Linked DNA regions of Neodiprion lecontei. The protein of the gene in region 1 purifies or fractionates together with the protein of each later gene. This does not show direct contact. Links are inferred from orthologs where the notes say so. Each region holds a gene or a part of one and is shown in the gene's direction. Other genes may lie near its edges. The genes, in order: RNA-binding protein cabeza, interleukin enhancer-binding factor 2, RNA polymerase-associated protein CTR9 homolog and ATP-dependent RNA helicase DDX42.

Evidence for each region.
Region 2: the proteins of RNA-binding protein cabeza (region 1) and interleukin enhancer-binding factor 2 purify together in Homo sapiens (affinity purification with mass spectrometry; 3 studies listed by BioGRID and IntAct, with this or other methods). This does not show direct contact. The link is inferred for Neodiprion lecontei from reciprocal best matches to the Homo sapiens genes FUS and ILF2.
Region 3: the proteins of RNA-binding protein cabeza (region 1) and RNA polymerase-associated protein CTR9 homolog purify together in Homo sapiens (affinity purification with mass spectrometry; 3 studies listed by BioGRID and IntAct, with this or other methods). This does not show direct contact. The link is inferred for Neodiprion lecontei from reciprocal best matches to the Homo sapiens genes FUS and CTR9.
Region 4: the proteins of RNA-binding protein cabeza (region 1) and ATP-dependent RNA helicase DDX42 purify together in Homo sapiens (affinity purification with mass spectrometry; 3 studies listed by BioGRID and IntAct, with this or other methods). This does not show direct contact. The link is inferred for Neodiprion lecontei from reciprocal best matches to the Homo sapiens genes FUS and DDX42.

The regions. Positions count from the first base shown.
Region 1 is NC_060263.1:2,144,781-2,153,361, reverse strand, and holds the start of RNA-binding protein cabeza, read left to right. Parts: upstream 1-2,400; 5' UTR 2,401-2,686; coding exon 2,687-2,699; intron 2,700-3,512; coding exon 3,513-3,893; intron 3,894-4,047; coding exon 4,048-4,162; intron 4,163-5,902; coding exon 5,903-5,934; intron 5,935-7,890; coding exon 7,891-8,024; intron 8,025-8,147; coding exon 8,148-8,509; intron 8,510-8,581. Other genes in the region: mediator of RNA polymerase II transcription subunit 19, read left to right, coding at 1-30, 113-212, 312-593. UniProt on the Homo sapiens protein: DNA/RNA-binding protein that plays a role in various cellular processes such as transcription regulation, RNA splicing, RNA transport, DNA repair and damage response. Binds to ssRNA containing the consensus sequence 5'-AGGUAA-3'.
Region 2 is NC_060265.1:26,831,025-26,836,354, forward strand, and holds interleukin enhancer-binding factor 2, read left to right. Parts: upstream 1-2,064; 5' UTR 2,065-2,182; intron 2,183-2,288; 5' UTR 2,289-2,310; coding exon 2,311-2,312; intron 2,313-2,423; exon of another isoform or gene 2,424-2,440; intron 2,441-2,723; coding exon 2,724-3,030; intron 3,031-3,146; coding exon 3,147-3,453; intron 3,454-3,625; coding exon 3,626-3,883; intron 3,884-3,959; coding exon 3,960-4,246; 3' UTR 4,247-4,561; downstream 4,562-5,330. Other genes in the region: proteasome subunit alpha type-2, read right to left, coding at 1-309, 1,151-1,483, 1,898-1,938; uncharacterized protein LOC107218898, read right to left, coding at 5,271-5,330. UniProt on the Homo sapiens protein: Chromatin-interacting protein that forms a stable heterodimer with interleukin enhancer-binding factor 3/ILF3 and plays a role in several biological processes including transcription, innate immunity or cell growth.
Region 3 is NC_060266.1:25,828,629-25,837,319, forward strand, and holds RNA polymerase-associated protein CTR9 homolog, read left to right. Parts: upstream 1-2,272; 5' UTR 2,273-2,346; coding exon 2,347-2,385; intron 2,386-2,644; coding exon 2,645-2,743; intron 2,744-2,841; coding exon 2,842-3,081; intron 3,082-3,158; coding exon 3,159-3,731; intron 3,732-3,816; coding exon 3,817-3,936; intron 3,937-4,022; coding exon 4,023-4,333; intron 4,334-4,406; coding exon 4,407-4,932; intron 4,933-5,012; coding exon 5,013-5,207; intron 5,208-5,276; coding exon 5,277-5,393; intron 5,394-5,474; coding exon 5,475-5,785; intron 5,786-5,927; coding exon 5,928-6,268; intron 6,269-6,375; coding exon 6,376-6,562; intron 6,563-6,644; coding exon 6,645-7,205; intron 7,206-7,356; coding exon 7,357-7,453; 3' UTR 7,454-8,155; downstream 8,156-8,691. Other genes in the region: solute carrier family 35 member F2-like, read left to right, coding at 1-33, 110-320, 576-703, 885-1,083, 1,158-1,193. UniProt on the Homo sapiens protein: Component of the PAF1 complex (PAF1C) which has multiple functions during transcription by RNA polymerase II and is implicated in regulation of development and maintenance of embryonic stem cell pluripotency.
Region 4 is NC_060261.1:42,758,077-42,765,380, reverse strand, and holds ATP-dependent RNA helicase DDX42, read left to right. Parts: upstream 1-2,346; 5' UTR 2,347-2,514; intron 2,515-2,724; 5' UTR 2,725-2,733; coding exon 2,734-2,948; intron 2,949-3,049; coding exon 3,050-3,322; intron 3,323-3,442; coding exon 3,443-3,983; intron 3,984-4,075; coding exon 4,076-4,304; intron 4,305-4,401; coding exon 4,402-4,676; intron 4,677-4,767; coding exon 4,768-4,918; intron 4,919-5,097; coding exon 5,098-5,438; intron 5,439-5,504; coding exon 5,505-5,633; intron 5,634-5,713; coding exon 5,714-5,920; 3' UTR 5,921-6,542; downstream 6,543-7,304. UniProt on the Homo sapiens protein: ATP-dependent RNA helicase that binds to partially double-stranded RNAs (dsRNAs) in order to unwind RNA secondary structures. Unwinding is promoted in the presence of single-strand binding proteins.

The DNA.
Region 1 (8,581 bases):
CATCGACGCGCCTGGTCACCAAGACAATAGGTACGAACTTGAAACATTATTATTTTGTATTGTAACGCGTTTAAACTATTATTCTCATTAACATATTTCTTTTCTCTTTCAGTTCTCTAAGGTCTGTGATAGACAAGCCTCCAATCTGTGGAAAAGACCTTCTTCCACTCACCAGCGTGCAACTCGCTGGATTTAGACTACATCCCGGACCTGTGAGTTATTTCATTTCGTTATATTTACATGTTTCCGTTAAAGAAACTCATTTTATTGTTGCCCCAAAACTGTCTGATATCCGTTTCTTAATGTTACAGCTCCCAGAGCAGTATCGTTACGTAAATCAGGCACCGCAGCGAAAGCACAAGAATAAGCACAAAAAGCATAAACATAAGCCTGGCGAAACTCTGAGCGGTCAAGAGGCTACTACCACTGATATAGGGGGACCTGATCCCCATGAAAAGAAGCATAAGAAACAAAGGAAGCATGACGAGGAGAAAGAGAGAAAGAAACGGAAGAAAGAGAAAAAACGAAAAAAACAAAAACACAGCCCTGAACATCCCGGAGGTCTCACACCCTCGCAGCATTCCAATACGTGATCTCCATTCTTTCCATTTTTATTCATCTAATCGATTATACATACCCGTGTGGTTCGTACACAAAGTGAAACGAGACGACGAGTTTAATTCATTTATTCAGAAATCATAGAACTGCCCATGTGCCTTGCTCAATTCAACGCAACGTAAGAAATTTAAGCTTTTTCTTAACTAAAGAATATCCCATGTTATTTTTAAACTGCAGCCAATACATGTTAATGTATTGTCGTGCATGCATCAGTTACTGTATAGGCGAAATAAAACCTCATGGCAATTACAGTAATTTTAGATAGGATGTTTATTGGTGAACTCGGCCTGTCTATCACTCTGTTTACTCACACCATTTTAGTCCTGTAATCGGCCAAAGTGTATCCAGGAATTCACGCAGTTCTGTGAAACCTAATTTCATCGTCTCAGTTTCGATAAAAGGCTGTGTGTCCAGTAGTATAGTCTAATGTCTATATAGATTGTTTTGACTATTGAATACTAAACAAAAGAAAAACTCGGTTATGAAAAAAGATTGTTTGTATTCATGACAATTTGTCAATGCCACCAGTTGTTGGAATACCGATACTAGGAATTGAAAATCTATGTGGAACCGTTTCGAATATGTTGATTGGCCACAAGAGGTACTTTGCTAATCATCGATATTTGAGCGAAGTTTCTTGTGCAAACAATTGTTACTTACTACTCTTATAATTTGATATTAAACAAGAGAAAAGTCAATCAGATGAATGATGTGTTCACAAAACAACTAGCTAATTATAAAAGAATGAATTGATTAAGAATATTTATGCCAAGTAGTAAAATAAACGCAAAATTTATTATTCACCAAATTTCAAACGGAAACCAATATTTCATTTAATGTATGGTATAACTAATTTGTAGATTGATCGAAACATGAATTATCCTATGATATTTGTACATATTACCTACAATATAACAAATCCTGTAACATTTAAACCGAATATTTGAATAATTTAACATCTAACAATAAGAAGCAATACCAAAAAATTTAAAGAAGCCTACTGAAAATGAGACTTTTGAAATTTATTTTATCAATATCGCAGGCAAGTATATCAAAATATGTCTGCACTCACTTGCAGTTAGTCAACGCTTGGAAAACCAACGGAATCCCAAGTGTGTGATCAAACTGGAGCAAAATCAATGAAAATCATTAAAAGCTCACCGTTTTAATCCGAAAACTTGAAAGAGAAATACCAAATGCGCAAGATTATCGTGCCGTTGATTATTTCATTTTTTGTACATTCGATCTATTTTTAATTTATTTAACACATTATTGCAACAATTGTATTTTATCATATGTGTTTTATCGTTCCGCGCGTATTTGGTATTGATACCTAATTATCTTTCAAATAAAGTAAGGATAGTTTTCGTACGAAAAGCGTTTTACCCCGAGAACCCTCTCCGCCTGATGCAAGGCTACATAGTCCAGAACTGGAGAGTTAGCGGAAGAGTGAGAGCGAAAGGTATATGTGTCCTTTCGCTCTAGACTCGATTGGCCGATACGTTACCACTCGACCAATCAAATGCAGAGTGAGAGAGACGGAGTAACCCTAATATATATAAATCTTGCTCTTTCATCACTTTGGCTCCATTTTTCGCCAGTTCAATGGATGGGTAGAGCATGGAGACTAGAGTAGTAAGTATGGAGCGTGTACGTTTACGATACAATAAGTGTAACTGTGTGACTAACACATTCAATTTCATCAATCAACGCAGTATGAATCAGCGCCACGTCGATTATTTTATGTACCCTCATTTGCATCCAGAGTTTGACCATGTTTTGAACGCACCGCCATTAGAGAATGCGGTTCTTCCATAAGTACGCTCCATAGCTCTAAGTTGAGAATTACGAGTGACTGTGGTGGTAGACGTCGGCCATCGCCGTGGGTATAACTCGCGTAACTCGTAGGTATAACTTCACGATATCGCCGGTAGTCCCCAAGTTGCCGAGCCGTTCCCGCCATTACGTGTTCTCACACCCAGACGTTGCGTGTACTTTTGCGTGTGCGGTGTGCCTTGAGCAATTATAGCGTCGCTATTCGCATTTGTGAAGGACGCCACTGGGCACGATGACCGATAATCGTAAGTATTATATATTAGTTGTATAGCCGAACTTGTTTGTAGATAATATTATAGACCGTCCCTTACCGGATCGTCGTAATAATTGTGCATACGAGTTAGTAATGGATCAGCGTCTTGTCGGGCGTTTTTACTAACAGTCGTCCATGCTATTTTTCGTCGTCTTGACTTTGCCACGCCACTAATTTTATCGTATTAAACCTGATGATACCTAATTGTAGACGGTAATACTAAGTTTCTTTGCTTTCGCTCGATATCATGATTTTTCTTTCCTACCCAAGGCACGTAGTTAAGTCATAACATTAGATTTTCTTTTCGAAAATGTGATTTTGCTGCCTGATCAATAATCAACTACGAATCACGCGTTTCGTGCTTACGAGTTGCTGATTGTAACATGGAGTCTTATCATTCGTGATGTTGACATGATTTATCATAAATTTCATACTTTCCAAAAACACACCTTAGTGTGGCTTCAACTAAGTTGAAATGGGATCGTGTATCTCAGTTCATTAAGCTTCTCTTAATTTACGAAATTTTATTACTATCACTGTTTGTACAATACGTAAATATGAACTCCATGTTCAAGAATTTAACTGTCCTTCCATGCTACCATGGCCACCATTCGGATAAAACTCTGTTATTTCTCATAAGTCACGTAATGGATATTCAATGAATCGCATTAAATCTTACTTTTGTCAAACAAACAGTTGGATTGTATTTCATAAGTTCACTGCTTCGTCATTACGATTCTATGTGGGAATAAGAAGGGACTTGAAAATTTGTAGTTGAATTTCGATTTGTTATTATCTTTGGCAGAATACAGCGCCTACCAGCAGCAGGGTTATGGCCAGTATACCCAACCTCCACCTTCTGGAGGGCAAGATACATCATATCCTCCACCTTCAGGCGGCAGTACCAACTACAGCCAGTATAGTCAACCACCGCCGAGTAGCAACACTTATGGAAATTATAGCAACTATAACCAAACTAGCGGAACTGATTATACTCAAGCCCCAAGCCAAGGAGGCTACAGTCAAAACAGCTATGGGGGTGGAAATTCCGGATCTGGTGGTGGCAGTAATTATAGCTCTGGCTATAACCAGGGAGGAGGAGGTGGAGGAGGAGGAGGTACTGGAGTAAGCGGAGGAGGTAGCAGTGGTTACAATAGAGGTGGAAGTGGAGGCGGTTACGGAGGAGGTGAGAAACTGAATTTGACTTATAGAACCCAAAACCTCATTGATGATTTCGGTCCAAATAGACTTTGTTGGATACGAGTTGTGTTTATTATTAAATTCAGTCTCGTGTATGCAGCTTGGAATCTGAATATATTATTGCGAAAAATGATGTACAGGTCAAGGAGGAGGCAGTGGAGGTGGAAGTGGAGGTGGAGGTGGCGGAGGTAGATTTGGTGGAGATCGCGGTGGATATGGGGACCGCTCAAGCAGTGGTGGAGGGGGAGGATACAAGTAAGTTTCTGAATTAAAATTGTTTCGTTATCAAGGGAAGAAATATTTGAAAAGAGCTGATTGTAAGCCACCCTGAAAGTAATTTTACGCATATATCTACATATATATACGATATATACACACATTCATCAAAGGAAAATGAAAACAGAAGAAATTAAGAATATATGGAAAAAATAAAAAAAATTGTCGAAACTGTATGGTAAAGGTAATACAATTGAAAGGTTCTATTACACGACTATTAATAGTACTGTTAGCAGTATTACTATGTACAGTAACGTTGATTGTAACGAACAATGAATGCTTTATATCCATTGGTCTTATGCCCAATTGGGCGTTAATGTGTTTGAAGTGTGTCTACAGGTTTAACACACAGGTTTAACTGGTATAAAGGTAACTGCAGGTTGTATATGACAAATGACGAAATGAGGTCGATTATGTATGTTTCGTAAAAGTATCCCGGCATTCATGTTCACTATATAAATGCCACTGTGTTTCTGCATCATCGTGAAACGGTTGTAAAGGTTTTTTTTAAGAAATGTGAAAATATGCAGCAGGCGCGTGTCATTGACGTAAATGACACAATGCAGCTATTTAGAACTACCAAACTTGACCTGACACTTTTTTAAAGGGCATCTGTAAGAGATTACATCCACTATATGTATTATCAGGGTCTCTGGTAAACTCAATTTTTCAATTTTAACAACGAGTTACTGTGGCGTTTGTAAATGTGCGTGTGATATTTTCTTCTTTTATAAAAACGTGACTGAACAAATCTAACGCTTTTTCTCCTAGTCCCGTGTACAAGACATTAGCTTGCATTACACAAGTGTGTAATGAAGTATAATCCAACGAAAAACAATAACTAAACATTTGGTATGAAAAACTTTGAAATCTTGTTCGAAATTGTATTAGCCTGGGATGCCAGAGAGCCTTATCATATGTAGTCGATATTCGTGCAAAAGATATATATTATTTTAAGCATACAACACGCGAATTTTTATGTACCGTAAATTTCAATATACTTCAATCCATTTTGAATGGCTCGATAAGAGCTATTTCACTTTTTGTTTGGTGAATCTTTGCAGATGTATCTATTTTCAGCATAAATAATAATTTACTTTTGTGCATAATTGCATTCCCAATGTAATCTAGTAGTAGGTAACGAAAACAAAGATATTCGTCAATTTCAACACTACAAGAATTATCGTACCTGCCGATTTACAAAATAAATAGTGTCACGCGAGAAAGCAAGTTCAATCTTGTCCGTGTATTTGGGGCATGGTTAAAAAATGTGCTGATTAATTGTATACGATGCTTAGGGACAGATTGAGGTTTACTTCAAACTGACTATTTTTAACTACAAAGCAATGTTTATTTTATGTAATCTCTTACTATGCTTAACTATATCAACGTATTGTGACGTTCGATTTTTGAGTTCAAAAATAGTTGGTGTACCTTGAATTTATTCATCTTACATTGCTATTTATCACACGAAAGTATATGTTTACATATTTCCTAAAAAGTGACAAGAAAAAAACTGCCAAACCCAAACTGACCGACATGACTTGTTTGTGTATTGTGATAGTTGAAGAAATAATCTAGACTTCAAGGACATTTAGACAGTAGGTGCATCAAGAAGAAAGAGCAGTGGCGACCAGCATTTGAATCGCCATGCAACAATCGATCGATCAGTCTCTGTCCATGAGTCGACTCATTGGTATATCTGCTTCTGTGTTTTAGCAGTGGCGGTGGCCGTGGTGGTTATAACAAAGGTAAATGCACCAGGCTGCCTGTACTAGCCTGGTGCTATTCACGCATTCACTCTAATTACTTAAAACTTAAATACTTGGTTACTTTGTAAAATATGAAAGGGCTGCCATGCAACAGTTTCAGACTCCGGATACAATGATATGCGTACGTTTAATTATGGAGGGTATTTAGAGATATTAAGTAGCTGTGGATACGTTGAGAAACAAGGAAGTTCAAAACTATCAGTACTAATTTGTACTGTCTCTTTTTTTGTTTTCTATGTCATCGGAATCACCATTCAACTTATACCGATAATAATTATAATCTGCTGACATCTGTCATGACAACCTATCCATATTGCAATGCGTTAAAGATAATATGCGATGCAATTTCTCTCATCATTTGAGGTGTTCATAAATTATTATTGTGATACGTTTATGGTTCGGTTGATTCAATGCGCTAAAATTTGAATCAATTATCAATTATCCATGTGCGTGTGGCTAGGGATGAATGAAAAATGAACCAGAACAGCCTCCAATTTGAGTTGCGAAGTGCTTTGTTATAAGCAGTTCTTTAAATCATAAGTATAACTGTGCTAAGTACTAATCAGCATACGTATTCACTTTATCTTACTCCTTATTGAGTGAAACTTTAATTTTTTTTTTGTTTTTTGTTCCAATTCTTCCAAATAATGGTTTATTATAATTAATTTTAATCCAGAATATTTTCCTCATGGTAAATCAGACAATAATACAATGCAAAAGTCTGAACAACGAGCGTTTACTTGATAATTGTATGTCAACTGGTGAAGTCATTAGCCATAACAAACTAGCGATTGATAATATGACTATGATGCCTCGCTAAAATGAATTGATTGATTTATTCACCGAATTCAGGGATGTTAAAAGGGTTGAAATAATGTTGCAGCCCTTTTGTATGAAGATCTGCAACCTTGTGTTAATATTTGTACTTTATTGAGTATTGTCATTCATGCTAGATTATTGCGTGATTGTAAATGAAATTTTGACGTCGTATTTAGAGGCGTGAATTAAAAAAAATTTTGATATCAGCTTGTAAAGTGTGGTGAATTACGTTTGTCTTTAATATCTATGGTATAGGTATTTGAAGCAAAGCTTCTCAGGTCTTCATTTACAATGTGTAAGAAGCAGTTTGCGGTTAATAATGTATTGGTATTGAATTCATATATTACCAATGCAGTGTTCTTTGGAGTAATTTTAAATAATATACGTCATTTTAAAATACCTCGATGTATCAGGTGATAAACAAAATATGCTTGTGCATTTTATGAGATGCAAGATCTTCACCTGAATATAATTTACAAATATACTTAAGGAGGTGGACATGATTTTTTCTATTTATCAATTGTAGGGTCAGTTCTTTGGATAAGATATTTAAAAACTGGCGCTAAATTACCAATTCGTAATGGGTTGTCGACCACTAATTAGATTAGCTAATAACTCAAATATGTATAAATTATATGGTATGCTCAAATTATTAGATGGGAACAAGTATCAACTGTTGAAACAACATGGATGTGTTAGGTAATAAGTAAGAGTAATGTGAGAATAGAAATGGAAAATATTGGGGTTTGACATTGTGTACAAATTGAAAAATAGCATTTTCAAATTTACAAGTGTATTTTCCCCCGTGACAACTGTTTGCTCTCGTAAGATCAATAGTACTACACAACAGTGCTACATGACAGATACTACTCATTATAAATAAATCAAAGCTGGTTTAGTTTTCTTCCTATTTTTTCATCGGGCAAACTGTTTTCAATGTCATATTAAGGCAATAGACAGTGAAACAGCATTTTATTCGTACAAGTTTCATCCTAGGCTTGCAGTTTGAATTAGCTTACTAGAACTAGGGATTGGAATAGGGGTAGTTGATGCGTTGACAATTCAGTTAGGGTTTTTGGGTTTGAAGATCAGTGACTAATATTGGATGTGTTGCAGGGGGCTATGGTGATCGCGGCAGTGGCGGCGAAGGGATGGTTGTTCAAGAAGATACAATATTTGTTTCTGGGATGGATCCTACCGTGACGGAAGACGAAATATGCGAACACTTTGGTGCGATCGGAATTATCAAGGTACGTTTAGAATTCGCACCTAATTTGATAATGTAGGTAATCTATTTTATCATTCGCTTGAAACATTAGATATATAATACCATTATTGATTAATCTTTGAATTTGTAATTGACCTTTTTGTAGAACGATAAACGAACTGGGAAGCCAAAGATATGGATGTATAAAGACAAAAATACAGGTAAACCAAAGGGTGAAGCAACGGTGACATACGATGATCAGAACGCGGCTCGCTCAGCAATAGATTGGTTTGATGGCAAAGAGTTCAAGGGTTTTACCATAAAGGTGCAAATCGCACAGCACAAAAGTAATTGGCAAGGTGGTCGTGGAGGAGGTGGCGGAGGTATGGGCGGCGGTGGAGGTCGAGGAGGAGGTCGAGGCCGTGGAGGTGGTTTTGGTAGCCGCGGAGGAGGAGGTGATAGGGACGACCATTCGCGTGGAGGTGGTGATGATCGACGTGATGGTGGCGGCCGGGGAGGAGATTGGAGGTATGCCAATTGTGAAAAAAAGAAAAATCAAAAAACGAATACAGGGAATTCCTGGGAATTACTTGCAGTTCT
Region 2 (5,330 bases), on another chromosome or scaffold:
TCCTTGACATTGGACGGATGGAGTCTCCTGAATCCATTGGCGTCACAAATGCCGACTTCAATATTGTCCGCGGTCATTTGCCCCTCAAATCCTTCCTTCAAAGTCAGAATAGCGGTATGAACGGCGTCGTCGAGCTCCAGATCTTCGCTGTATCTCTTCTCCAGGAATGTTTTACCGTTGATGTGATTCTTTCCCATCGCGGTTGCCTTCCAGGCGTAATAAGCACCCGACGGATCGCACTGGAACAGGTACGGCTTGTCGTTGTCCCAGCCGCAGATCAGCAGAGAAACACCGAACGGACGTACACCTCTGCACAGACATTATTTAATCAGTTCCAAAATGTGACTATGCATGTGTTACGTACTCCGCACTATTTCACAGTTCTATTTCACTCATACATCGACTTTCATCCCTCCTACCTAATAGTCGCTCCATTTTGCCAAACAATACAAGCCTTGCACACCCTGTACACACCCGATTACCGCTTCTTATTCCCGGAACCTTGATCCTACACACCCCGCTTTTTGCACACACCCATACTTTGTTTTATTCATTTCTCGATGCAATCCTGGTCCGTCTTTCATACGATATTCTGACTTTACCTTTCGAATCGGACACATGTTCGATAAATCATAAGGCATATTCCAACATCAGCACACCAGACTCGTTCATTTAAATCCCTCACCTAAACTTTCCGGTTGTTCTTAATCATAAAAGTGAAGCGGAACCTCGTCTATTCTGTGCTACTCGAAAATAGATAACGCGTAAATCATTACACGTGGTTCCTTTTAAATCTTTGTGAAGCAATTTTCTTCGACTTGTCTTATGCCCTTCGATTGACAAATGTCAAACAATGAATCTATTATGGAAATTTCCAACGAGAACCATTTTACGACAAACTCTTTCAGATTTCAACAATTCTTTCCATAAATATACTTTTCTCACACATCTGCTTGCTAAAACCTTGTATCTAAATTTGGTAATGTCTACTTTTCATGGTTTATAACGTTGATACCAAACATCAAGTCAAAAACAGCATATAAAATTCATTCAAAACCGTTTAAATTGCATGAGGTCATAGTAAATATCAGCTGGAAATTATAGTCAAGTTTCGGCTAATTATATGAAATCATGAAAACTCTGATCTTACCCTGACTGCGTGTACTCCTGCATGAGCATCGCTACTCGTTGAACGAGTTGCGCAGTTGGAATTGGTTCCTGGTACACTAGCAAGTACTGCTGGGCGATTTTGCGAGCTTGCTTCACAAGTAGACGATAGTCAGGCCCCATTCCACTATATATCATCCCAATATGCTTGGTAACCATTTCAACCTTGTTAACACTGTGTTCGTCATAGAGTATCGATTTGTGCTTGTTTTCAGTGGCAAGAACAACTCCGTTGGATGCCTTGATGCCAACCGAAGGCGCCCCAGCTGATACTGCAGCCAATGCATACTCGATCTGCACCAGCTTGCCCGACGGGCTGTAAGTATAAAATAAAAATGTAAAATTTTGAAATGATGGTGAAGAATAATGAGGTTTTATAGTCGACGCAATCAAATTTGAGCCTTAAACGATGTAGAGTAACAATGACAGGACAAAAAGTGGAGATTCTTTGATCAAAACATGGGATGCAATAAAGCTCACTCCAAGTTTCCATGGAGATTGAGACAGAAATTTGAAACAAGTTTGATATTGCTTAGGTGAGAATAAAGTTTCAGACTCGTTTGACACGAAACTTTTTCGATTCTTGACGTGGTTTTTAGGTTAGGACCGAGTTGACGGACTTTCAAACTGCTGGCTAAGATAAAATTTTGAATATTTTTCCAGAAACGGTTAGACTGATTGATTGAAGGTCGCAAGAATACAGGAAATACGTTAAATTCCCTGTTCTTACCTGAACGTAGTCAGCGAAAAACTGTACCGCTCCGAAGCCATGATTACCTTGCAACAATACACTAACCTGAAGCTCGAACGGCTGAAACTGGAGAGTTTCGACTTTCAAGTTAACGATCTCGAACGTAGAATCCAAGATGGCGACACGAATCGCGGCACACTCGCGCTCTCGCGCCTCTCGCGGTTGACTTCAGATGAAACGCCATCAGGATCGTTAAACCGGCTAAGCACGGCTAAGCACACGCTGAGGACTAAGGTCGGCTATTGCTCAAATAAATTATCCAGGGTAAGTTATTATTGAATAAATACCGCGATAAATACTCGATTAGAAGAATAAATAACAGCTCATCTCACTCCGAGTAACGAAATACCGGAATACGATTTGTTTTCAGGGTGATCCTGGATCTTCCAGCAATGTAAGTCTGCTATGCTTGGTTAGGTTCTTCGTTCAATGTTCATTCGCACCTTAGAGCATATACTACTGGAGGTAGCTTTGCGTGTACAGAAAGTCTAGCCGAGGAGTGAGTGAGAGAGAAAACGAGAGGTATATTTTCGTTATAATTGGTTTCTCTCTCGCTCAACACGCGATTGGCCAATACGTAGTCCAAACATTACCCTGATTAGAATCGTGCGAGCTCTGAACGATTGTGAAATTAAACCTTAAAAGAGCACATCAGCACATTTCTTTTATTTCATCTATCTCTCGTATTGCCGTCAAGCATCAATCGAGCCAGAAATCACGTCCCACCAATTTTTAATATCTTGTGAACTATGCATCGACTCCAGAAATGATTAAACGATGCATTCGATTTGTTCTGACATTGCAGGCTTAATATGGTTCGAGGTGCTCGCGGCGGCATGATAAGAGGTGGTCGAGGAGGAATGGGGCGTGGAATGGGATTTCCTAGGAAACAGTTCCTGCCCAGACATCCCTTTGATTACACCCTTTGCGAGGCTGCGTTTCCTCGTGTCAAGGCAGCTGCGGATGAGGCTGACTTTACTACGGCACTTCTGAAGAAAAATTCAGATATGTGTCCGACAGCGAAAGAGCAGAATTCCATCTTGAACCTCGTTACGAAGCTACAAGGAGTTCTGGATAATCTAATCGTTGCACCTGGAACCTTCGAAGCTTGTGTGGGTATACAGCAAATTTAAAATGGCTGTAAATACAGTTAAAGCTATGTTTTTCTTTTTTTTTTCGAGTGAAACGAAAATGAGAAGGAACATTGATGGATTCGTTTCATTTACAGCAACTCGAGGAAGTCAGACAAGTGGGGAGCTTCAAAAAAGGGACAATGATCAAGGGTCACAATGTAGCAGACATCGTTGTTATCCTCAAAACATTACCTACAAAAACAGCGGTTGAAGCGCTGGGCACGAAAGTAAACACAGACTTGAAGGCGGGCAATCCTAAAGAGGCGTTTAAGCTGACTCAAACGGAACGTGGATTTGATCTTTCAACTAATGAGGCCACTGTTCGTGTCCTCATCACTACTTTGCATCAAAACTTACGTAAATTGGAATCTGAGCAGCATCTTGACGTTAAAATCTGCCAAGGTATTTACCGACATTGTGTTGCACCCGGATCGTTTGACTTTTTGATAAAATTTCACAAGAAAAAATTCAGATAGTTACCAAAGCTTAAAAACCTATTCAAGTTTTATTTTCAATTCGCAAAATAGTATCAACCTTGTTTCAACATGTTTCAATTTTTTTTTTTTTTTTACAGGGCACCTAGCAGCTATCAGACACTCTCGATGGTTCGAAGAAAATGCCCATCACTCGAGTATCAAAGTACTGATCAGATTGCTGAGAGACTTGAGGACCAGATTCGAGGGTTTCGAACCCCTGTCACCATGGATGCTAGATCTTCTGGCACATAATGCAATCATGAATAATCCCAGCAGACAAGCACTGCCGATAAATCAAGCCTACAAGCGAGTGCTCCAGCTCCTCGCTTCAGGGTTATTTTTGCCTGGGTCAGCCGGTGAGTTGTTTCTAATCGACAAAATGTTGACCGCAACGACTGAAAGTTAAATTTTAACTGATTATTTTATCTCAAGGAATTTCCGATCCCTGCGAGGGTGGAAACATCCGTGTACACACCGCTATGACGTTGGAACAACAGGACCAAGTGTGTCTAACGGCACAAACATTGCTACGAGTTTTGGCGCACGGTGGTTACAGGCCATTGCTCGAAGGCGGTAATAAATTAGCGGTAGAAATGAGTGTATGGGCTGGCGGTGTGGTTGCCAGTCCTTTGGACAAGGCATACGAACCTCCAACGGAGCAGGAACAGCAGGAAGAAATGGAAGAAGGAAATGAAGAAATGGTGACTCAAGACACATAAGAAATATTTTAATGAAATTAACAAACTCAGCTTGTTCCAGATTGTTATAAGGCGTGTTTGTATCTCTGTCTGTACATTTGATACAATTTCACGTGAGATTTGGAACGACTCTATACATGGTATAACGCTGGATTTATTGAAAATCATATAATTACGAATTTGTACACGGATCGGTATCAATAGAGCGGGGATGGGTAAAGAGAAATCGTCCATTTTCAGACTCGATAATGAATTTTTTCAATGTATATTCTTTCATTTTTGTCGGCAACCCGTGACGTACACATTACATGTATGTCTATGTTTGTCGTTGCCGATCGATCGTAAAAAAAATTGATCCTGCTTAAAACATAGATGATGATTCATTATTTTTCAGTTTAAATCACCAAATATCTTATTTTGACAAACATTTGATATACAATGCGATTAATATTGTAATTACTTATATACGGATACATTCATAAATGGCTAGCTTAATATTAATATAATTCCTATGAATAATAATATTATTATTATTATATTAGTAGAACGTCTCGTGTGCGTGTATGTGCAGTCTTCGTATGAATTTTGAAGTACGTTTTCTTACTCGTCAACGATAAATGATGAGTAATTGTATCACGGTAATAGGTCAAATCAACAACGTCACTTCGAGAATGCGACGAAGTTCTTTTGATCAATAAATATTCGGTCTTTATACATACGAGCCCGCCGCGTAAGTGGTCTAACTAACTAAACCTCTATTTTATTCTATATACACAAAAAGAATCGGCGAGTGAAATTCAACCATTGAAAAGTGCAGCCTCAAGCTACAAAACAGTTTGACCAACTTTCTTGGAAAATCGTTAGACTAAATTTCTGAGGAAGTTGACGATCATCATTGCTTTGAATTGGAGACTCGCCTAAGATTCAATGTACTGGTCTAAAAAACACTTTAAAATAAAATAAGTGATATTTCATCTTTCCAGATACGATGCGGATCGCTCGTCGTGCGAAAATATTACAAAACAAGACCTCAAACTTCCTTCGATCACTTGCAAGGACTGTTTTCTGGCGTCATACTCACGTGGGCACAGCTCACCTGCTTATT
Region 3 (8,691 bases), on another chromosome or scaffold:
ATTTTTCGGCACGATCATCAGCTGCATGCAAGTGTAAGTGATTACCGACATTTTAACATTGAACACTGCAATCCAGCGAAGCGACTTGTCTTTGTTATAATTAAATCAGGGGCGTTCTCGAGCGGCTACAACTGGAATCATTCTGCTGGGACAACGCTCCTGTAATAACGTTCCTCATCCTCTACTGCATCACTCAGTTCGTGTTTTACTCTCTTGTACCTGTGATCCTTTTCGAATCAGGAGCAACTGCGCTTCAGCTCGCACTCCTGACTGCGGATTTCTTCAACATTCTATTCGGGATGTTGACGAACCAGTACAAGGTGTTTTTCTTATTTTTTTATCACGGTATCTTAGGGGCCGTTCAAGTATCAGCCAACGCTAACACAAATAATAACGCTGGCCAATAAACTTTTGAAAACGCGTTAGCTAACGATGAAAAACAGTGGCTGGGCAAAACAAGTTATCACTTGGTAGGAAATACAAAAATTTGCAAAAAAATACGTCGGCTGATAGTTGAACGGTCCCTTATCAAACGTGCTTTCGGTCGATTCGTACTCACACCGTTACTTTTCCAGTTTCATACGCTCTACTTCGTTTCTTACACCTTGACGATGAGCGGCATATATATTTACGCGATTCAACGGACACCGATTTCGTCAAGTTCAAGAAGACAGCAAGTCGAGCAGCCGGCCCCGGACTACAGGTACGAGCTAGTAAAATTCGCTATACGGATTTTATGCTTTAAACCTATAGTTGACGTCGATTTTCAAGCTTGTCGATTTAGCAGGTGTGTTTAAAGCATGGAATCTGTGGCGCGCGTCCACCCCTCCGTGTTTACTTGGCTAATATTTTACAACGATCGATTAAAGCGACATTATTTTAAGACACATGTCACATCCCGACGTTGGTGAAGTTGAAATGGCAACGAGTTCAGGAATGTCGGCTGTCAGCGGTACCCTCGATTTACGCGCCTCGACGCTGAGCAGCGAACGAGAAGCCATCATCGACGCCACGAGTCTTCCTTTGAGCGTCAGCTCGGACACGGCCTTTACTTCGTTTTATGGCAGTCAGGTGAATCTAAAGGTGCGGGAACTGGTTTTGGAAAAAGAATATTCCCTTAAATTTCATTCGTATGACTGCGTAATATTTTGTTTCAGACGGTAACGACGAACGGTGGTGGTGCGGCATGCTAATAATTATCCATTGACATGATGAGACAATTTTACCACCGTACTGTGCGTATAGTTAATTCGAAATCCATTATTCAAACGCAAAACTTCACGCGCACACATTAATTATCATATACACGTCGACGCAAAGAATAAAAACATCACAATCATCACCCGAAAGCAACAGACTTAACATTTGTATTTACAATAATGATTATACAATGATAATAAGAAATTCAGGCGCTAATTATATTAGGTATAATGTTGTCGATGTATGATCGATCCGTAATTGATATAAATATTTAATTATTACGATACAATACTGCATACGTTTAGAGTAGCATTTAGATAATTGAAACGTTAATGCCACTTTATAGAAATATAAAATGAAAAATGCAAAGCTATAACGAAACGGAAAAAGACGTTTTTAACCAAAATATAACAAAACTTCGTAATTAAAGTAGTAAAAAAAATGTGCCAAATGTCAATGATCATTTTAAATTCGATTTCACAACAAGACGCACAAGAAAACAAAACGAATGAAATCCATACACGGCACAGGAAATTTTTTTTATCTACATTCGTTACGATTATTAATATTATTTATCGTGATTTTCAAGATTCAATTTCACGTCTTGCAGTAATTAATAAGTTGTAATTCTTTGATTAACAATTGTGTTGAAATTTGTGTACATACGAAAAAAAAACAAAAAATGGTTATCTTCAAACTGTAATTTATGTAACCCTATTATAACGTATGATTATATAAATAGGAAAGTATCATTTGTGTTTAAATTAATGTGGATTCAATTTGAAATAAATATAATACTTCAAGGACTGTAGAAAAAAAAAAAAAAAAATGAAACCAGCAAAAACTGATTATACACATCCTGAATAGTGTGGTATATCTTGTAAATTTTGTATAATCCAACTGCAAGACTCGAAATACCGTTTTAAATAAATAAATTCCAACAGAAAGAAATTCACGGTGTATACGATAAATTCTTTTTGAAAAGAAAACGTGCGGAAAGTAATAACGCGATTGAAAAGTACACCGTGTCACGTTTCGCGCAAGCGCCGATTTCATTCACGGCAACGATGTCTCGCTCGTCTCACTATTCAATTCGCTTCAGTAGCGATCGTAGCGAGACCGTGGCGAGCGCTAAAGGCCGAAGCGATGGCGAGCATCGAGATACCTCTTCGTGATACGGACGAGGTAAATTTTCATAATATCTACCTTATTTTACGACCAATTAAGCTGGTTTCGATTTCTCATCAACCAAGTTCGAGGCCCGCGTATCTTGTTCGTAAACGAGCCGACTGCGTGTCAAACACACCCAACATAACCTAGACGAGCGGGGCTTCTCCTGAGAAAACCGACGCACTCGTTGTGTATCATTTACTATCGAGGCAACTTACAAATCCACGCTTCCCAATTCGCAATACGGATGAATAACTCCTCTTTCCGCAACTAGGTAATCGAATTGTACCTGGATCAATTACCCGACGGCGATGAGGTTCTCGGTATTTTGCGGCAGGAACATGCCCAGCTCAGCATCTGGGTCAACCTGGCGGTGAGAGTTCTGCTTTGATTTAGGCCCTACATTAGGCGTGTCACCGTTTACCAATTAGACGTATAAATATTAACCGACTGATATTTCTTTACGCACAGCTCGAGTATTACAAACAACAGAAGATCGAGGATTTTATTAAGATTCTGGAGTCGTCGAGGATCGACGCAAACATCGACTACAGGGATTATGAAAAAGACCAGATGCGAGCACTGGACATGCTGGCCGCGTACTACGTCCAGGAGGCGAATCGCGAGAAGAACAAGGACAAGAAGAGAGATCTCTTCACCAAGGCAACGTTGCTCTACACTACGGCGGACAAAATTATCATGTACGACCAGGTAAGTTTTGGATCCACCTTGAGGTAGAAACGTGACAGAAGCAGGCAAGGATTAATTTTGTTTTATTATTCCTACAGAATCATCTCCTCGGTCGAGCCTATTTCTGCCTCCTCGAAGGGGACAAAATGGAACAGGCAGATGCACAGTTTAACTTCGTTCTGAACCAATCGCCTAACAACATTCCGTCGCTCTTGGGGAAGGCGTGTATAGCTTTTAACAAGAAAGACTATCGCGGAGCTTTGGCATTTTACAAAAAGGCACTCAGGACGAATCCCAATTGCCCGGCGGCGGTCAGACTCGGAATGGGACATTGTTTTATGAAACTGGGTAACCAGGACAAAGCCAAAATGGCGTTTGAGAGAGCTTTGCAGTTGGACGCGCAATGCGTCGGAGCTCTGGTCGGCCTGTCGGTACTTAAATTGAATCAGCAGCAGCCGGACAGCATCAGAACGGGTGTTCAAATGTTGTCCAAGGCCTACACGATAGACTCGACAAATCCGATGGTTCTGAACCATTTGGCGAATCATTTCTTCTTCAAGAAAGATTACAACAAAGTACAACATTTGGCTCTGCACGCTTTTCATAATACCGAAAACGAGGCTATGCGTGCTGAGAGCTGCTATCAACTCGCCAGAGCCTTTCACGTCCAGGTAAATACCTACCTCGGCGGTAACGGTTTTAGTCTTTTCTGAACGGTGCTGCCGCTTTACTACACGTTAAACGCAATATTTTCAGGGAGATTACGACCAAGCCTTTCAATACTATTATCAGGCGACTCAATTCGCTCCCCCGGTTTTCGTCCTGCCTCATTTTGGCCTTGGTCAAATGTACGTCTATCGTGGAGATGCCGAGAATGTAAGACAACGCAATTGTTCCGACAAGAGGTTACTTGTATACCTAAGAACTTGTTCGTGTGTTCTATCAAATTCATTTCCCTCCAGGCAGCGCAATGTTTTGAAAAAGTTCTGAAAGCCCAGTCCGGCAATTACGAAACAATGAAAATTCTTGGCTCTTTGTACGCCAACTCAAGCTCCCAGTCGAAAAGAGACATAGCCAAAAGTCATCTGAGAAAAGTAACGGAGCAATTTCCCGACGATGTCGAAGCGTGGATCGAATTGGCTCAGATTTTGGAGCAAAGCGATCTAACGGCTGCATTGAATGCTTATGCTACAGCCACCAGAATTCTTAAAGACAAAGTTCAGGCTGATATTCCACCTGAAATCCTTAATAACGTCGGTGCTCTTCATTACAGGTAGGTCGAAGCTGAATTGTATATTCTCCTTTGTAACTGAGTTTGCAGAAGTAAAGAATTTCTGTTTTACTAGACTTGGAAATTTAGAAGAGGCAAGAAACAACCTGGAGGAGTCTTTGGCCAGGTCGAAAACTGACGCTGAACAAGATCCTGTTTATTACAATTCCATTGCAGTCACTACGACGTATAATTTGGCTCGCCTAAACGAAGCATTGTGCGTATTTGACCGGGCAGAAAAACTGTACAAAGACATTTTAAAAGAACACCCGAATTATGTGGACTGCTACTTGCGGTTAGGCTGCATGGCCAGAGATAAGGGTCAAATTTACGAAGCTTCGGATTGGTTCAAAGATGCCTTGAGGATAAATAACGAGCATCCGGACGCCTGGTCACTCTTGGGAAACTTACATTTGGCTAAAATGGAGTGGGGACCGGGACAAAAAAAATTTGAACGGATCCTGAAAAGTCCAACGACCAGCACAGATGCCTACTCGCTTATTGCCTTGGGTAATATTTGGCTGCAGACTCTTCATCAAAGCGGGAAAGACAAGGACAGAGAAAAACGGCACCAGGACAGAGCCTTGGCCATGTTCAAGCAAGTGAGTATCACCCCTTTTAATGACCGTGAAAAGCCTTGTGGATCGAAGCTATACTCAAAAGATATGATCGAATTTCTCAGGTATTAAGAAATGATCCAAGAAATATTTGGGCCGCAAACGGTATAGGAGCTGTACTTGCTCACAAAGGTTGCGTCAACGAGGCCAGAGATATATTTGCCCAAGTCAGAGAAGCAACAGCTGAATTTTGCGATGTCTGGTTGAACATTGCTCACATTTACGTGGAGCAAAAACAATTCGTCAGTGCTATTCAGATGGTTGGTATTACGAATTAACGAATATCGTTTTATCTATTCACCATGCTTTGAAACTAATTTTTATTTCAGTATGAAAACTGCTTGCGTAAATTCTACAAGTATCATCACGTAGAGGTTCTTCAATACTTGGGCAGAGCTTATTTCAAAGCTGGAAAACTGAGGGAAGCTAAAATGACTTTGTTAAAGGTATAGGAACAGCAATGTCACACATGACTCTTTCTATTCATTTCCGTCGCTGACGCGTCTGATATTTACTCGAAATTCCAGGCTCGCAGAGTAGCTCCCCAAGACACATTACTGTTGTACAATATTGCTCTGGTCCTACAAAGATTGGCGACGCAAATTTTGAAGGATGAAAAATCGACGTTGGTTATTGTATTGCAAGCTGTACATGAATTAGGATTATCCCACAAATATTTTCAATTCCTGGGTATGCAGGGTGAGAAAATGGATCAACTTGCTGAAATTGAGGCAAGAAAATGTCAGGATTTGCTGTCGCAAGCGCAATACCACGTTGCTCGAGCACGAAGGCTGGATGAGGAGGAAAAAATCCTCCGAAAAAAGCAGGAGGAAGAAAGGTAACAATTGGATAAGCATTCCTGTTAATTTTCAAATAAATAAGCGCCGAAAATTTCTACATGGAAATATGCTGTGAATCGATTTGTTTTCAATGTTTCATTTTCATTTTCATTTTTTTTTTTTTTTTTTTTTTTTTTACAGACAAGCCTTCAGAATACGCCAGACGGAAGAACAGAAAAAGGTGGAAGATATGCGTCGCCAGAAATCAGAAGCCATGTTACAAAAACGACAAGAGTATGTGGAGAAAACGAAAAATGTTTTACTATTTGGTGACATGCCATCAGAAAAGCCTACAAAGAAGGGTAGGAAAGTAAGGTCTGAACAATATCTAAGCGATAGTGGCTCAGATAGAAATGAACGTACCGAAGATTCAGCTCCCAGAGAAAAAAAACGCAAGAGAAAGAGCAGCGGTGAGAGAAAGGAACGGAAATCGTCAGGAAAGGGAAGAAGGAAAAGGCATGCTAACAGCGGAGAAAGTGGAGGTAAGTTTGAACATCAGTAATATAAATTGATATTTTCATTGGCTGCTTAAATCCTGTTTTGAATGTTTTGTAATCATTAACAAATCGGTCCCATTTATGAACTACAGGTTCGGGAAGTGATCGACCGAAAACTAAACGTGGCAGAAAAGCGGGAGGAAGTAACAAAGGTAAAGGATTTCGCAAGAGTGGCACCGCTGATTTATCAAGTAAACAAAAAATGCGAATTGTTTCTAAAGAAACTATTTCGACAAGTGAATCTGAGAGCGATAATGAAAGGCCTAACATGGCAAGCGGGTGAGTGATCATTCTGTATTTTCATTTCACTGTAGATGCCTGTGATGATCCATTGTCTAATTTTAATTCGCTAATATTTCAGAAACGAAAGCGGGGAAGAAAACGCAGGGCGAGGAAGGCGTAGAATCGCATCGGAGTCCGAAGGTTCTCGTGCCTCACGTTCCAGATCTCGTTCTAGGTCAAAGTCTAGCAGCCGTTCAAAGAGTGGATCCCGATCGCGTTCAAGAAGCGGTTCACGATCCAGGAGTGGATCTAGGTCCAGATCTACATCTCGCAAAAGTGCCTCGAGGTCGCGAAATCAATCACGGTCACGCTCCAGATCTAACAGCGGATCAAGAAAAAGTGGTTCGAGATCGCGATCCAGATCTAGAGGAAGCAGTGGCTCGAGGAAAAGTCACTCTAGGTCCAGATCCAGATCCGGATCCGGCTCACGATCGAGATCAAGATCAAAATCTGGTTCAAGATCACGATCCAGATCGAAATCAGGATCAAGGTCAAGATCGCGATCAAGGTCACGATCACGATCAAGATCAGGCTCAGGCCAAAGCAAGTCCAAGAGTAGGAGTAGGTCACGGTCCGGATCAAGATCGAGATCGAGATCAAAAAGTGGCTCCAGGAGTAGAAGTGCGAGCGGATCAGCAAGGTACGATAGAAAATTATATATTTGATTACCACTCCAATTTTCGAATATACTTCGAATTTTTGATGCTTTTCATGCTTCATTTCTACACCAGTCCGACTTGGATGATTTACAACCCTTGCTTATTATTATTGATTGAGAAATATATTCACAGATCCGCAAGTCCTGTGTCTCGGAAATCGATATCTGGCAGCGAAGATGGTTCTCGCCATTCGAGTCCGCAAAGAGGTGGACAGAGCGGTAGTGAGTAATTGAAAACTGACAATTTCACTGTCATTAATTTAATAATTACTACCTTAACTACCTATACAATATCCAATTTTATTATAGTTTTTCCTGAACCTAATTATCAGAAAAATAATTTTTTTCACTAATTCTCAATTCACAAGTTGGCCAACGTCTTATCGGTATTCGAAGGGTACTCTTCAGTTTCAAATTGTATAAACTAGACCATGCTAGCACAAAAAAACTGAAAATACTCTTGCAATATTATAAAAACCAATGGTTTAGGATCAAAACCTATGGTGTCTATTTCGAAGGTAGCGAGAATGACATTAACGAGAAAGTGACAAAACTATTCAATTGATACTAAGCCTATTGGAACTAGGAGTAATTGTATGTGAGTCGAATAAGGAATGAACCATTCACACTAACGATAATGAGTTACCCTTCGTGCTAGCTACTGAAAAACAGAGTTGCCAAATTTGCAAGCAAAGAAATATATTTATGTAAGTAGAACGTATTGAATTAGCATCGATGATGTGAGTTTTAATATCATCGAAGCGTTAAGAACGACAAATTTGTGATAATTTAGGAGTTGAAACAACAAAGAAATCTAACAACTGTTACATTTTACCTATACAGGATTGAAATTATTGTAAACTCTGTGTATCAGTGGAAAAAAAAATTACCCGCCTTGAAACCATCAATAAAATATCACACACAAGAATTCATTTGATTGCCTATTATTTTTACAACCTTTTTTATCACAGACCTTACTATCCAAAAAACAAATTTAGTGAAAAGTTTTGACGAAAATTGAAACTTGAATGGGACCACAGAGAAGTTTGCAGCTTAAAAGATGAATAATTACTATCAATGAATTGTTACAGCTCATCGTTGTTACAAGCCTAGTAAAGCAGCGGGTTTCTTGTCGCGTATCTATGCTTACCGCTTTGGAACGAGTACATATTTGACGTTCACAATATAATAAATAGCTATTACAATGCTGCATCAAATTCAGCAAATGGCAAGTATTAATTCGAATATTCGTATAACTTTGAATTATCGCCGCAGGTACAGATGAGTCTAATCAAATCTGAGCTAGAAAACACATGTATAAATTCTACCGCCACGCCATGAAAAAGGAACAACGATAGACAATGCGATTTATCTCCCAGAGCAAACCCATTGTGCGAACTGGCAGATCTGTCGAAGAATTTATATTGCATGCAAAACTCACCAGTCAGCTCTCGATTAACCGCTACAG
Region 4 (7,304 bases), on another chromosome or scaffold:
ACTGCTAATCCTACTCCTGACCCTATTCCTACTCCTACTTCTACTCCTGATCTACTACTCCTACTGTTACTACTTCTACTCCTATTCCTACTCCGAGTCCTATTCCTACTACTTCTCCTACTTCTACTCCTACTTCTACTCCTATTTCTACATCTTTCTCTGATCCTACTCCTACTCCTACTCCTGATCCTACTGCTAATCCTACTCCTGATCCTATTCCTACTCCTACTTCTACTCCCGATCCCACTTCTGATCCTACTCATACTCCTACTCCTACTCCTGATTCTATTCCTGATCTTACTCCTACTCCTCCTTCTGATCCTACTCCTATTCCTACTCCTGATACTGATCCTTCTTCATCAAATATTATAAAAATGTTAAACTCACCGAGCACAAATCCTCATCCTCCTTGTCCACCTTGTTCTCCTCGTCCAGCTCGACTACCTCCAACCACCACCAACGACCACCGCTGACCACCTCGGGTTATACCTCGAATACTAATAAATATTACAAGTATTAGATCTCATCAAAAATATTGTGTAAGGATTAATGTAATTTTTTTAAGGTCACATTTTACCCAGAAGTTTATGAGAAAATTATGAAAAATTATTGGAATTTTACTAGCGCATTGATAGCTAATGAATTTGGGCTTGCACGAAAAATGAATTGAAATAATTTATTGTGAACATGACAGGTTTAACCAGAATTACGGAAAATTAGTCCTGAAGGTCGAACGTTACCAGGTCAAGGACCGGGACAGCCAGAACTACGGAGCGCTTCTCCTGGATGTCAAGATCCATCAGGTGGAGGACCTGGACAGATAGAACTACGGAAAATTAGTCCTGAAGTCGAGTAACATCAGGTGGAGGATCTCAACAGCCAAATCTACGGAAAATTAGTCCTGAAGGTCGAACGTTACCAGGTCAAGGACCTGGACCACTAGAACCACGGAGCGCTTGTCTTGGAAGTCGAGTTTCACCAGGTAGCGGACCTGGAGCGCAGGAAGTACGGAGCGCTTGTTCCTGAAGTCGAGTTTCACCAGGTAATGGACCTTGAGCGCAGAAACTACGGAGCGGTTGTCCTGGAAGTCGAGTTTCACCAGGTAGTGGACCTGGAGCGCAGGGACCACGGAGCGCTTGTCCTGGAACTCGCGTTGCATCAGGAAGCGGACCCGGAGCGCAGGATCCAGGAGGTAGAGAACCCGGAACTCGAAATCTGCGGAGCGCGATTCTCATACGTCCTCTCTACTGCGCGGTTGTTACCAGACTGAGGAATTCGGCTAACTGATTTTCGTCTATATAGATCGATGACGTCAAGGGAAAAAAAATTCTAAAATTCTGAAACTGATTGCATCGAGTTGAATAACACGATCGATTTGCTGTTAACTGTGTTGCTTCACCCGTTTCCAAGATCACGAATTTACACATCTAAACTCCTGGAGTCTTTGGAGATTTTTCGAATTTTAAATTGCATCAGTTGGAATCGAGGTTTGGGTAATATTTAGAGTGCAGGCTTTCGATGTTTTTCATATTTTTCGTATAATTCCGCAAACAAAAACACGTTTCCCACATATCAGTGGTAATATCTAACGTTGATAATTTTTCTTAAAGATAAGCAATGGATCATGGGGTACAGAAGACTCCAAGTTTTCGGATGATTTTGCAACCAATCGTTTACTTATTCTTGACATCTATACCAAATTCCAAAGCCACGTATCTGTACTTTTTGGGTTGACACACTTTTCAATTAACAATAATAAAATTCTATCACGCGTACTTGTAACACTAAATATTCCAAAAAAGATCTTTTTATATGGTAAGGGTGATCCCCAAGGATTGCTTTCCAAAAGAGGCAGGCGATACGTTTAATGCAATAGTCAAACTTTTATAAATCCGTGCAAAGAAATTCTCGGGTTATCTTCTTGTTATGTACTACAGTGCAAAGTGTAACTATATTCATTTCAATTTCCTTCGATGCGGAATAACAGATTATAACTACGTGTTCCGACAAAGTAGCGATGTAACGATTCAAATCAAAGTATTACCTCGCGCTTACTACAGTTTCATTTCAATCGCTATTTCAAGTCGTACTTATACATGTACGCATACTCGCGTGCAGTTTTTACTTTCCCATTTTTATCTACGTATTTTCTCGCCTTTGTAAAATATAGATAGTTGTTGGTTATGAAGAACTTCATTTACCGATGTGGTTAGTTATTTGGTTGATAATACGTGAAACTGCTATTGCCCCCAAGTCTAAATATAGTCAGCTGCGATGGCGTATTGCGCATGCGTTATTAGAAAGAGAGAAAGAGAACTTTGTTATCTGCTCGTAGCGTGATTTCGGACATTTTTATTCTATACCAGTGCTGCTGCAGGCGGTCTGTAGATTCATCGAGATTCACTCGTTCGCAAAGAGGTTAATTCGGTCGTCCAGTGTCCGGTGCCATCGACCACCTTACCATTGTTAAATGTAACAGTGATCGTAATTTTATTCGAATATCGCCAGATTAATGTGAGTAAAGTACCACAGAATTTCAATTAATTATATGGGCACCCTTAGTCGAATAGCGGGAAATTACATTCTTGCTTCATTCGTAGAGTAAACCTTGTACTTAACCTAACCGGGCTGAGTATACAGTTTTGCTATTTGGTATCCTTTCCTGAAATATTTACCGTACACCAAGTTGAAGTTGACTTTGTATTTACAACGATTTTATGATAGCACTGAAAAATGAGTTACCACCGGGGAGGTGGTAACAAGCCAAAGGGCTTTGGCTTCGCTGGATTTCAGATGGCTGGAACCAAGAGAAGCGGCGTCAACATTCCGCCACCCCCGAACAACTCAACTCTCAGCAAACAAGGCTATCATACAATGAATTCTATAACCGAGAACGCTCTATCTGCAAACTGGGGGATACCTAAAAAGCGAAGCAAAACTGAGGAAGAGTAAGTGTTGTTCAGTTGGTAGTTACTATTATTATTGAAGTTTCCCAGATAGGATTTAGTTTAAAAAGTAAGTCGATTATAAAATCAATTTACATAATCAGATATTTTGAGGATGATGACGATGCGCCGACTTCCTCATTGGAATATATCCCTGCGCCGGGTTCTCCGACCTACGAACTTATGAAGAAAGACAATCGAAAACAGGAAAGTGACAGTGACGAGGATCCACTCGACGCGTTTATGGCTGGAATCGACGCTGAAGTTAAAAAGAATACATTCGAAGCTGAGCTGGCTGAAGAGATGAGAATGGAAGACAAATCCAAGGGAATCAGAACTGACATCGATGATGAAGACGACGAGGAGAGTTACTACAAGTAATATTTTATTTATAAAAAAGCATACGACGTCTTCCATTCGCTAAAAATTCCATATTGTAAACAATCACAAGAAAGTTCAAAGTGGTGTGATAAAAATGACTGCATTTCGTTTTTCAGATATATGGAAGAAAACCCTACAGCAGGGCTTCAGCAAGATGACTCGGATCAGGAGATTGAGTATGACGAAGATGGGAACCCAATACCACCACCAAAAAAGAAGGACATTGATCCCTTGCCTCCGATTGATCACAGTGAAATAAACTACGAACCATTTGAAAAGAATTTCTATAATGTACACGAGGAGATTGCAAATTTAAACAAGCAGCAAGTCGAGGACTTACGGCAGACCTTGGGAATCAAAGTGACCGGTCCTTCTGCGCCCAATCCAGTCACCAGCTTTGCACATTTCGGATTCGACGATGCTTTGATAAAGTCGATTAGAAAAAACGAGTATACTCAGCCGACTCCCATTCAGGCACAAGCAATACCTGCTGCTCTGAGTGGCCGGGATTTGATAGGAATTGCTAAAACTGGTAGTGGAAAAACAGCGGCGTTTATTTGGCCGATGTTGGTGCACATTATGGATCAGCAAGAACTAAAGCCAGGCGATGGGCCAATCGGTCTGATATTAGCGCCAACCAGAGAATTATCACAGCAGGTAAAATTTGTAGCAACGATAATTTACCGTCAGTTGTAGAAAATGACAAATTATAAACTTTAATAATTACCTGGAAAATTATCTTCTTGCAGATATACCAAGAGGCTAAGAAATTTGGCAAGGTATATAACATACAAGTATGCTGTTGCTACGGAGGTGGCAGTAAATGGGAGCAAAGCAAAGCCTTGGAAGGAGGTGCGGAAATAGTCGTTGCTACTCCTGGTCGAATGATCGATTTGGTCAAGATGAAGGCTACCAATTTGGCCAGAGTTTCGTTTCTCGTGCTTGACGAAGCTGACAGAATGTTTGACATGGGTTTTGGTGAGTGAGCAGCCAGGCGATATCCTTTACATTGAAACATCAAAAGTCATTACTGTTCTGTACAAACAAACTCATTTTTATCACATACAATGTTCAGAACCACAGGTAAGGTCGATTTGCAACCATGTCAGACCAGACAGACAAACGCTACTGTTCAGTGCGACTTTTAAGAAGAGGGTTGAAAAACTGGCGCGTGACGTGCTCACGGATCCTATAAGGATTGTTCAAGGAGATGTAGGAGAAGCTAACACAGACGTGACGCAACACGTTGTCATGTTCAACAGTAATCCTGCTGCCAAATGGTCTTGGCTACTGCATAACATTGTTGAATTTCTCAGCGCTGGTAGTCTACTCATATTTGTAACTAAAAAGGTGCGGAATATTATAATAAACCAACGAGAATCAGTTACGGCAAATAAACACAGGCTACGATCTTTGAGCGTTTTTCAATTTTTGATCTTAGCTAAACGCTGAGGAGGTCTCGAACAATCTAAAATTGAAGGAATTCGATGTTCTCCTGTTGCACGGTGATATGGACCAGATCGAACGAAACAAAGTTATCACTGCTTTCAAGAAACAAGAAATAAGTATACTTGTCGCTACCGATGTCGCAGGTAAGCTACATCTGTGACAGAAATAACGATATTGAAATTTACTATTCAAAGAAATCTCTCAACTGATTTTGCAATTCCCCCTGATTTTTTACGTCGAGATACCTTTTATGAGAACAAAGCAGACGTGTGGTCTGAAGTTTTTCTATATGGTATATTTATCGCAATACTCTTAACTTCAGCTCGTGGCTTGGATATCCCTCACATAAAAACGGTACTGAATTACGATGTGGCGCGCGACATAGACACGCACACACACAGGATAGGAAGGACAGGTCGAGCAGGAGAAAAGGGAACAGCGTTCACTCTGGTCACTGACAAAGATAAAGAATTCGCTGGTCATTTAGTGAGAAATTTAGAGGGAGCGAATCAAGATGTACCGAAAGGTCTGCTCGATCTGGCCTTGCAAAGTGCCTGGTTCCGAAAATCGAGATTTAAAGGTGGAAAAGGCAAAAGCTTGAACGTCGGTGGTGCAGGACTCGGGTTCAGAGGTCGAGTGTCCGATGGAACAAACAGTGGACAGGTTTGTTGCAAACACGTAATTGTAAGTACACGTTTGTACACCGTTAATTCATCTTCAATTCTACAGAGTGGCGGATCCTCGAATCCGGCATCGAAGGACATCAGCGAAGTAGTCAAAAAATTGGAGAGACATGGACCGGGAAGCGATCGACTCTCGGCGATGAAAGCTGCCTTCAAAAGCCAGTACAACACTCAGGTATGATCTTATATTGTAATCGCTGCCACCTGCCGAACCGTTCGAAAATTATTTAATTATTTGTTTGTTTTTTGTTATAGTTCCGTGCGTCTTCGGATCACACGTGGGAGCAAACGATTCAGCCAGCATCTGTCGTGATGCCCCCGCCTCCGCCAATGCTACCCTCTTCTTCACCTCCTACGTCAGCCGCCGGTCTCAGCGAGCAGTCGGAGGGCCAGGAATATCAGAATTCTAACTCTGCGGCAACGGGAGAGAGGCGGAGGGTCAGAAAGAGTCGATGGGAGTGAGTCGGATTAAAATTGCTGCCAAGCCATATCAGTGAGCCCAAATCTACGATTATTCTATCATCGCAAATACACCGACTGCAAAGCCTGTTTTGTTTTATATTATTATAATGAAAATAAATCCTCATTTTACCAATTCTGTGCGAGTCGTGTGCCAATTTGATCCTTAGGTTCCTGTTTAATCATATTTATTGATATACGAAAGATAAAGTTGATTCAACGATCATACATCTTTTACATTAGTTTGTCCTCTGCACGAGTTACATAATTTTCTATTTCCAACAACGATCAGATTTATAGGAAAGGGTTCACAGCATCCAGTAAATGGTCTTTTAGCTTGTTTCGCATTCACCCAAAACTCCTAGCATGATCAATTTACACTCAAGATACAAATGCGATCCGCTATAAGATGATTTAGGGCTCCGCTGTGATCCGCAATATTTATGTATTTGCCAGAGAAACAATAGAATTAGGCAAGATGTACTTCTCAATGGTCAAATTTATACTGCTTGTATTGTAACATATAGTGCTAATCGCAGATTACTAGTTATCTAGTACATCATATTATTTCCGATACAATAATGAGTCGTTTAGATTTATCTCTATTTTTAATATAAAACTGCAATCATAAAAAAAAAAAATGTCTAACCGAGGAGTCAACTACTGTCCAATTACGGAGCAACAACTGTCTAACTATACTTGTTCTAATCTTTATCTCAACATCTCCTGTGAACTTTTGTGGCAATGTATAGAAAGAATAAGGTCATCAGCGGTTAACTCCTCGCAAAAAATTATAAAAAAATTAATATATGTATAATCGTTACGAAAACGTAATGAATATTTGCTTTATCGATCTACAATACATACTGTATGCAGAGAATATGATATTATGTATTCCGTTTCGTATACCCAAGAAATGAAAATGAAAAATGAAAGAAACGCGCTACTTTATACCCATGTTCGAATTTCCTCGGTCAAATATTTCTAATAAATTTCTTTTTTCATATTGTTAACCAAGTTTGCAGCTAATCAATGCTGCTTTGCGCTAAATACTTGTTCGATAAATATCTCTCCACGTTGAAGAACGACCTTTGAGTAATTCGCTCGTACTGTGCGCGCAGTTGAGTAATTTGTGCCAAAATGGATATGATTCACTTTGAACGATTGGAAAAAAAGAACCTGTTTAGTAACATTTTTTTTTCTCTCTCTCCGATCGCAAATCGTCGTTTTCACTTCAAATGGGTATTGAAACGGGCTCAGGAATCGAGCCTTGCGTAATTTAAACTCTGGTATAACGATTGATCGTGCCATACAAGTAAACACAAAGCTCGGTTTAGCCGATGCTAATTGGTACAAAGTGCTGAGGTCGTCGGAAGATCGGCGTGAG